2 linked regions of the Neodiprion lecontei genome follow. The protein of the gene in region 1 purifies or fractionates together with the protein of each later gene. This does not show direct contact. Links are inferred from orthologs where the notes say so. Each region holds a gene or a part of one and is shown on either strand. Other genes may lie near its edges.

Region 1 (4,931 bases):
ATTGGGTTTTTTCCGCATTTAATTGTCCGCAACGACGAGCGCTTTTATTTTGATCAAATTCAATTTCTTTGAAATGTAGAAACGTTGTTATCACGTCGAACTCGACCTAATCTGGTCTGCGTTTATTTCGTTCTTCTCATTATCCGATAAGATTTAAGTATTTTTTAGTTGTGACGTGAGTTCTCCCCAAACGGTTAAAAAGTATGAATTACCCTTGAAATTTTGTTTCAAATCTAATTGTCAACAACAATGCATCGAATGTAAAATTATTTAAGAAAAGAAGTAGCAAAACTGTTGGACCAGAGTTTAAAAATACTCAAACATCCATTATATAGGAGTAAAAGTTTTCAGCTAGTAAGATAAACGTTGACATGCGTGAAAATAGATCACGCGTGTTTTTTAACGGATTTCACGGTAAAGTGCCAGAGCAGTGAACTCAAGCAAGATTGGTGTAAAAATCCGACCCTGCGCGCAGCATATTCTGTACCAAATCAAATTTAAGCCCTGAAAAGTGTCATTCTGTGTGGCCGAGACCGATCGGGACAACCCGGTGATGCGCACTGAGCGTGAGTAGATATTATAGCCTGAAATTTCCACATAAGCATAACGAGGGAAGAGGATGCTTTCAACGGTGATTCACCGAGCCAGAGGTGCGACTCGAGCACGCATAGAGTGCAGTTTTTCAACTCTAAGTGATAGGGTATCACACAGGCGCATAGGCAACACCCGAATTCGACTTAGACACGACGGTAGTGCGCACGCACACGTCCAAGGCTGGGATCCGGCGCGTGCGTGCGTGCGTGCGTACGTTGGTACCCTGCACGAACGCGCGCGCGCTCGCAAGTGTGTAATGTTTTTGCTCGAGGGGAAATGGTACCGCGTGTGTGGTCCGAATTTCCCCTCACCCCGTCCTCTCCTCTACGTTCGGGCACCCCGCCGCGCCGCGCGCACCGAGCGCCAGCCGCCGCCACTGTGACCAGCGCATATTGCGCTCAAAGCGCTGAGCGTTGCCTGGCAACCGGTGACGCCGCGTTCAGTTTGGACCAATCGGAAAACACCCGATTCGATCTCGGCTACGCTCGGTTGAACTCGACTCTGACGTCACTGGTGTCCCAGGTACGTAACTAGCCATTCGTGAATGCGGAACACTTGTGAATACTTTTTATCCCTCTTTTTCTGTTTTTTTTTTTTTCTCGTCTGGCAATTTTGGTACCCGAAGATGTAGGTATAATATACCACTTCTTATTGGTCCAAAATTTTCAATGTGACTGCAAATGGACCAAAGTCACGTGAATTCTTTTAGCCACTTGGTGTGTAATTTCGTCTTCTGGTTAAAATTAATTAACTTGAAATTACCACTTCGTACGTACAGGATGATAAAAAATGTGAAAGTGCAGAATCAAGAAATTTTCTATTTCGGAGTAAATTATACCATCGGCATAAATTGCGGAAGTAACTGGACGTCTTTTGAAAATTGCCGGGAAAAAAACAATATTCTCTTTACACAGATCGAAATACTATATCGTCCATCTCGCTGAATGATCCGAGTACCCACGGTGCCCTTTGATAGTTGTACCGGTCCTGCTGACGAGCGCGAGAAAGATGCAGCGTTGTTGGAGAGGGAAGGAACCGGGAGAAAGGGAGCGGGAGGGATGATGCGGCATGGCTGCCGGCTGGCAGGGGCGAGAGGTGAGGGGAATAAGTGATAGAGCGAGAGCGATAGAGAGGTAGGGATAGCGGAAAAGAGAGGGACTGCGACTCGGGGGCCAGAAGAGAAATGTGGGACTGTGAGTCGGTTAGTACGGACTTGGACCGTTCGAAGTGCCGGTCGCGGTTAAGTTAGCGAGAGAAGAAGGAGTACAAGGCTTGGTTCGCAGCGCTTGCCGAATAGTCGTCTGCGAGGATCGGTGCAGTGACAGTAGAACAACAATAGCCGCAACGACTGAACGATAGTTTGAAATTGAAACCAGAACCGCCAATATCAGCGTGATAGTAATGAGCAGAAGTTGAAAGAGGAAAGGAAAAAGAAAAACAAAAGATTAAACGAACACGTTTTAGATCGTTACGCGCAAGCTACACGCGATACGCACCCAGCATTCGTTCTCGAAGCCTCGTCCTCGATCCAGAAAAAAGAAGATCAAACCGAGTAAGGTGCTAACCGTAGGGGTTATACGAGTTACGAATGAGGAATGAAAGCGCGAGGCTTAACGAAGAGTGCAACCTTATACCAGGAACGCGAATTGTCTATTCCTCGCGGTAGACGCGCGGCGTGAAATCGTCGCCGATCGTCTCGTGTATCAAACCGGCCTCCGTCTGACGAACTCCAGCGTAGTAAATACTCCCGTAAAAGGGGAAGGACGGAAGGAAGGAAGGAACGAAAGAGGGGAGAAACGAGAAACGAGGCGGTGCTGACTCGGGTTGACGGCATCGAAATCAGGAGCAGGGGACCGGGCCCAGTCTGTGTTTACCGACCAAGTTTCGCGGGTCCCAAACGTGACGGAGTGCGTGCGTCGATCGTCAGTGTGAGGATTCGAGCAGTTTGCAGTTTTACACTTGAATATATGTATATTCGGTGGTGCGACTGATCGCACGTAAAATTGTGCGCGAGTGTTTGACAGGGTTGTAGGGGCAGGAGGCGGCTTCAAGCTGCGGTAGTTCTCCGACAGTTAGTTTGACGCCCATTTATTAAATCCGGGTGACGGATATGACGAGGATTTTTTTTCCCGCATTTAGTCGGGGCCCGGAGAGCCGGAAGTAGGTTACTGTGAAACGCGGATAAACCGGGAGCGAGTTTTCGAGAGGGCAGATGCGTTGCAGACCATGGTCGCTCCGTCCGGTCCAACGGGGATCCTAGCGGACCACCCTTCCGGTTCTGAACGGTTACACGGGCCCGCGCCGTCCCAAACCGACCGCGAAACAGACCTTGACCAACCCTCCTCGAATGCGAGGTACACCGGAAGTACCAGACACAGGCACGAAACCGACCTTTACGTCAGGCCCAGCTGGACCGATGCCGCGATCGCTTTGGATCAGCTCGAGAAGGTAAGAAGATGGAGAAGAAATTTTGATATTTCAGAACCGTGAAACTCTAGGGTATCTGATTAGTTTTACTCTCGATGGTCCTCTCAAAAGTATCTCCGAAACCAAACATGCAATCCTGATTCAATCGTGCGAGGAGATTCTGTTGTTCAAGTTTGCACTAAAAATTCAGCGGAGCGGAAATCGGAACTTTGAAACGGGCCCGAATATAACTGTACATTCCACTTTGAAAACTCAACGGGCAGCACGAATCATAATACTGCTCCTCCTTCTCCACCTCGTCGTCCGTGACCTAAGTCAATTTCAATCGCAGACCAGCGTAGAGGTTTCCCAGACCTTTTCAAAAGCTTTTACGGGTCTTTCGAAATCGTGATACCTTACCACACGGATTGGTATGCACCCAGCGAAAATTCATGGCCTTTTACATAAAGACTTCTTTGTGATATGAGACTCATTCACATTTTTTCCTTCACTTGGTTTACTCTTCTTTTCTTCTTGTTATTCTCTAAATTTACTTTCAAACTGATATATAGGAAGAACTATATCACGATTTCCTGAAATTGTGTTATATCTACATTATAAGTAGCAGTATTTGTCCGACAGTCGAGGATTATGCCTGACTCTTTCCGTACGACATAGTTGACGCTACACGGAGAATCGAAAAATGAGTCCATTGCAACTGGGAAGGGTCAGCCCTCGACCTCTAGCACCAGCTTTCTCGCCATTCTCCTCTCTCGATCTTCAGCTCTCTCGACTTCCTGGTTCTGCATAACCAGCAGCGCCCCCCACGGCTCAGAGCGTTAGCTGAAAGATGGAATCATAATTTTCGTGATAAGCAATTGTTCTGCATACTGGACTGTACCAACCATGATTACGATAGTACAAATACAGACAATTAAATTGGGATATAAAAAAATCTCCTGATATCCTTTCCCGCCATATCCATATGTATATTCATCATAGTTTAATCTACAAAGAGATAAAAGCTCGGGTAAAAGCAAGCTTCCAAACGAACAACGACGCAATTGGCATCGTTATATGCTAACCCATCAGAAAACGGCGAACCGTTTATAACCTGATTTAATGCTCCTCGCGTATGTGTAATAATAACGCCTTGCAGTTTACGAACTTGATTAACTGTCGCACCTTTATAGGTAAACTATACTTATACCAATGTCTCCATGCGCAAGCACAACCACGTGGTTACGCGTAACGTGGCCAAGAGAAAGTACTTACATAGTATGCGTCATACGTAAAGTATAAAAGCACGATTTATGAACATGTTTGAATATATTGACGCGATGCGCAATCGCGGTTTAACTACATAAACCATGTACGTACGTATGCGCATGGTATATGTACATATGGTTCACGCATGTGTAAAGAGACGGACGTAGTACCTACATACGGATACTCTGGTATAGAATGGTCGCACTTGTCAGTTGCATCCCGTACCGTCCGGTCCCACCGAGCGTCACCTTCGTCTTCGTCTTCAGCTCTCACGTCGCGTCGCGTCGCGTCGCATCGTCTTCGGAGTCCTGAATGTGCAGCGCGTAAGATTAAAGGTGCCGCCATCGTGTGCGGCATACATACACTATAGTATATAAGTACTAATAATATATACGAAGAATCCCACTAGCCGTTCCCTCCTACGGTCATCAAGAGTCTCTGCGCATGTGCCACGTAATCTGTTATCGATTACCGACCTAACGAGATAGGAAAAAAATCTTTTAAGAAACTAGCATTTGCGCAATGTAACATTTTTGGTCAATTTGCGATAAAATTTAATGGTATCTAACAAGTCGGTTTAGAAAAAAGTCTTCCTTTTATTTTAGCTTGTTTTTAGTTTCAGACAAATGACAACGTTTGAACAAGGGTTGTCAATAAAATAT
Region 2 (4,931 bases), on another chromosome or scaffold:
GACAGTATTATACATTACACAACTGTCATCCGCAGATCGGTTAAGAATCGGTTGTGACCTAGAAAGGAAAGTCCTCTTTCACACAGTTCTGGGAAAGTCCATTTTTCCTGATCTCGAATCATGAGGTAACAGTGGCATCACTGCCCCTGACGACGACACACCAAACGGAGACCCTGACCATAACGTTTTGCTGATAAGATATTGCGACGCGAAGGATGTAGGAAGCATGAGAAGCCAACAGTCCATTCGGTGAAACATATGCCCGATGCCCAGGTAGATACGCACGTTGAACGCACCTCGGGTAGAGGCACGTGTGAGGATGGAGTGGACTTGCAATATACCAGTTATCGTAGAAGTGATAGAGCTGCAAGGAAATGCGGCATGTGGGTGTGTTGTGTACACACTGTGCCTGCACACCAAATACGCTACATGACTGGACACGGTTAGAGGGATAAATCGTGGGTAATGGAACGGTGTTTATTATCAGTAAGCCCAAGAAACTAGCAACGCTCACGGCGCGGTTAGCAAGGCTAGGAGCTATCAGAGGCATCAGTAGCTTTCCGGCTGCCATCGGTGGCGCACAGCACTTCTCTGCTTAAACGACCAGTTGAAAAGCCCGCCGATTTACAATACAAGGCGAATCACCCACCTGAAACGTTCGTTGTTCCTACGGTTAATTCCTCGTGTTCAGAGCATATATTTTAGGGTGTAATAGGTTATTAATTGTACCCAAAAATACACATCGTTGTGCGGCAGGTAATCGGATCAACTCTTGAATGGAACTGCAGACTTCATGCCTGTACCGTTCAAACTATGTACATGATTTGCTGATTCTTTTTTTGATTTCATCCTAAGGTCAGTCAATCGACGGTCCAATTTTTTTACAAGATCGGAATACTTCAGACGAGCACTTCTTGTTTACACAGAAGATAGCCAACTGCTTGCTATGCACAGAGTTATGATAAGCAGTAAAATATTGCGTAACTGCATCGTTTCTCGCTAATGGTATCATTTCGTCATTTCGGAGAGAGTGCAAAGCTTAGAAAGAATGCTTATGAAGTATTAGATACAGGTATGCCTGACGTAATATCGTTAACTGTGAAACAATTTACAGTAAAAACCAAATCCAACTAATCAGTGTTCAGAACAAGTCTATGTGCAGGATGAAGTCGACATGATAGAACATTCGAATTAATCGCTGCATCGAAAACGACTGACGTTGAACGAGAAATAAAACCGAAAACGAGAAGTTAAAAAGGAACGATCGAAAAGTGTCGGTGACAGAAGGATATGAGAGGTGGAGGTGAGGGTGTTAAGGTAAGGGCCAAAGGGTCCGGAACGACTTCACTCAGCTGTTCCCGAGAGATAACTCCGGCAACAAACGGTCGGTGGAGAAGACATCCTCGGCGAAGATAGCCAGTGCTTCCTTTCAGAGGTTGAAAGTATCCGACGCAGTTCGGTTTCTCGGGGGGTTGAGACTCAGACTTGGCGAGTCGTTGAGCGGGAAGGAGCCGCGTTCGGTTTGGACCGGGTTGAGGATTGTCAGGGAGAGAAGCGGAGAGGAGAGAGAGAGAGAGAGAAAGAGGGAGCGATACGCCGATAACCCGGACGACACACGGGACTCTGGAGGCGGACGGACCGAGGAGAGCGATCTCTGTATGAGCGGAGGGACCGTGCGGCCGGCGCGAACCAGGAGAGGAGAGAGGACCGTTCCTCGGTGTGTATTCCTGTTGTACACCTGTCCTCGTTTACCTGGCTCGCCCCGCCCCGGCCAATCGTGGAGCAAACCGCGGGCGTGACGTCACACCTGGCGATCGCTCAGGGCGGGTGGAAGGGGGAAGTCCACCAGGAGTCAGCGACGTCGCCGGTCTCCGGCGGGCGGCAGGGTGGGGGAGGAGGCGAGAACCCGGTTTGGTCCGTCCGTGGCACCCAGGGAACACCAAACGCACCACGGGACATTTCCCACCACGGTTCGTCGGGAAAGCGGCAGTCAATCCAGGACCCCAGATCCACGTTGTCACAGTTTTGACAGTTGTCGGGCTGTTCGATACGCACCACGATTACAAATTCACGACGTGCGCCAACCGCCAACTTGCGAACACCCGTTGAATCCATAACGTCAGTTACACGTTAACGAAATTGCACGATGTTCGTCCACCCGGTTAAAGCTCGGAAATAATTATTATTCGCGAATTTTCCTTGTCCTTACATACCGCTTGTAATAACCGATCCGAGCCGATATAACGTACCGATTCACGGCGCGAATCTGGCACTTACGGCCTGGATCGATAATTACTGTATACATACCGAGACACATCGACTTAAGGGAAAACTCAGAGTAAAGAATTAAGAAGACCGCAGTTAATTGTCGGTAAAAGTGCCGTGTGATTGATCGATCTCGGGCCTTGTAGTATCCGCCTCGATTTCCGTATCTTGCGCGCGAATTTCAGCGGAGCAACCCGCGAACTGGATAAATGGCAGGCGATCGGTTCGTGACGACGTAGTCGGTACCGAACGCGGTGCAGAGAAGCAGACGTGATTTATCGTTACAGTGACAGGTGTGACCACAGTGTTATTCTGGTAAACGGTGTGCCCTCCCGCTTCCGGATCCACCGTCGTTCGCCACCCCTTGGTGCCAATCGGCGAACGCGGTGACAGTTCGCGGTGACCCGGTTGCCGGTTGCTCAATTCGCGACGTCCACGAGGCGCAGGGTGTGATGCCCTGGTTATGGCTACTACGCAGTGAGGCGAGACGAAAGAGGCGGACTGGGTCGGGATCGCACCGAAGCTGGGTCACACCAACGACGGACTGACCCTATCGCACTGGGTCGGGAAGATATTATGGTGAACGCTAAGATCGCGAGGACAAGATTCGAGCTGCGGTGGATATTGGTGTGCTTGGTACTGCTATCGTTCTGGCTTCCTTCCTTGGGCACCGGCCTCGCCGAGGGCTGCGGCCCCGGAAGGGGTAGCAACCGACGGATACGTCCCCGGAAGTTGACGCCGCTTGTATTTAAACAACATGTGCCAAACGTCAGTGAGAACACTTTGCCCGCCAGTGGACTTAGCGAGGGTCGCGTGTCCAGACACGACACCAGATTTCGCGACCTGGTGCCCAACTACAACCAGGACATAATCTTCAAGGACGAGGAAGGCACTGGTGCCGATCGCCTCATGACTCAGGTGAATATTCAAACCGATTTACCCATATCCGTGTCGAATTGTAAACGGTGCGATATACGGTTGGACCTGCAGCTGTAACGTGTAATCGTCGTTGCAACCACGGCATCCGGGCACACGTGGTCGGTCTCGGCGACGTCAAATCCGTCGCGTCAACCGGTAGATAGATAATTCCTGGCCGCTGTTTGGTGTACTCGCGTCATTGCAAAGATATAATTTCATATTAATGTATATGTGTCTAAGCATCGGTAGTTACGAGGAACAGCGTTCTGTAGAGCATATTATAACGTCGTATGTTTTCTTTCTTCCGCAAAAGGCATCATGGTTATCGTCGTAGTGCGGGTGAACGTTGACCGGCGCCGGGCGCGTATCTTCGATGCAACGATACTAGGCAAATATTAACCATTCTTGCACGTAATACATAGCACTTAAAAATTCACACTTGACTCGAGGTAAACCCCCTTACTTGTAGTTGTAAATGGTTTAAAATTCACTCGAACACTAATTGCGCTTGTACACACGACAGAAAGGATTCGCTGAAACAGCAGGAAAGGTGTTAATATCATGGCGATAAAAGTTTTTTCCTCTATTAGCAAGAATTATGTAGTTCCAGTTAAAAGTTGTTTGATCAGTTGGAGGAATTACCTGCACTTGTAAAACATTCGCTAATACAGCTAAAAGTAATTTGCTATCCGTACAGCGAGAAGTCTTAGTTTCCGTGCTAAAGGTTATACTTGGAAATTTATTGCTTTTAAATATTTATCCCGGTACAAATAATGATCAAGCGCTTAGGCTGTAAAACTTTCGAAACGGTGAGGCTGTACTTACCAAGAAATTGCGTAGTTTGTAATTTCTTGGTCTATCCGTCACTGTCGTATATTGATAAAAATATTACGGAATATGACATATTTTCGCAACGTTAATAGAATCCGCAAACACGGAAGACTGCAACCTGCGTCGCGAGATGTCTGACACATCGCTGAGATATCACTGTGTATACATAATGCTCACGATAGGTGACGTATGAATTTTTTTTCACCGGCGCAGACGGATGCTTAGATTTCATATGTGCTAATAAGAAGCGACGCTGCACAGTCCTAGGGCAATGTGGATTGAGTTAACCTAGTCGAAGTTGTCTAGCTGGGTCGACGTAAGCCTGAGGCCCAACTTAAATTTTTATACGAGTTAAGAGAACGGCGAAGATCGCACGCTAAGCGAGGAATAAATGGGGGAAAAACTATACCGAGTCCCTAAGTGATTGTGGAAAGGTTTATGGTAGCCATAACCAGTGTTTCATTTGACGCCTTGACGCTTCTCCAATTATACGGTAGATAAATTCACCAACCTCGTACTTTTCTCGATTTCGATCGTGTCACGAAGACCCTATCCTAGTCCAAATAGCGTCGCGAGACCGCCGCGTTTTGTATCTCGTAATTGACTTCAAGCCTCTTCCCTCGACCCTTTGAGGATCGGCACTCAGTTCCAATGAATCGAACATTCCAGCTTGGTCTCGATGAACAATCCTCACTTCTCACCGCATCGAAGCAACCTTCTCGCTTGCCCTTCGGGCTTCAATCAATGTATGGATTGATATGGATCTGATGTTGTAGCAAGGATTGAACCCCACGACGAGCATTGATGCTAGAAAGTGTCGTTAAGTGGTTGTCACTTGCTTGTGAGAAGTGACATCGCTTAAGATCGCAGTGTCTTTTTAGTCGGAACTTGAGTCCAACAATAAGCTTCCGATTTCG

What was found.
Region 2: the proteins of protein patched (region 1) and sonic hedgehog protein A purify together in Drosophila melanogaster (affinity purification with western blotting; 3 studies listed by BioGRID). This does not show direct contact. The link is inferred for Neodiprion lecontei from reciprocal best matches to the Drosophila melanogaster genes ptc and hh.

Annotation. Positions count from the first base shown.
Region 1 is NC_060260.1:39,196,906-39,201,836, reverse strand, and holds the start of protein patched, read left to right. Parts: upstream 1-1,798; 5' UTR 1,799-2,820; coding exon 2,821-3,042; intron 3,043-4,931. UniProt on the Drosophila melanogaster protein: Segmentation polarity protein. Acts as a receptor for the hedgehog protein (hh). Associates with the smoothened protein (SMO) to transduce the hedgehog signal leading to the activation of wingless, decapentaplegic and patched itself.
Region 2 is NC_060262.1:29,608,638-29,613,568, forward strand, and holds the start of sonic hedgehog protein A, read left to right. Parts: upstream 1-1,866; 5' UTR 1,867-2,841; coding exon 2,842-3,183; intron 3,184-4,931.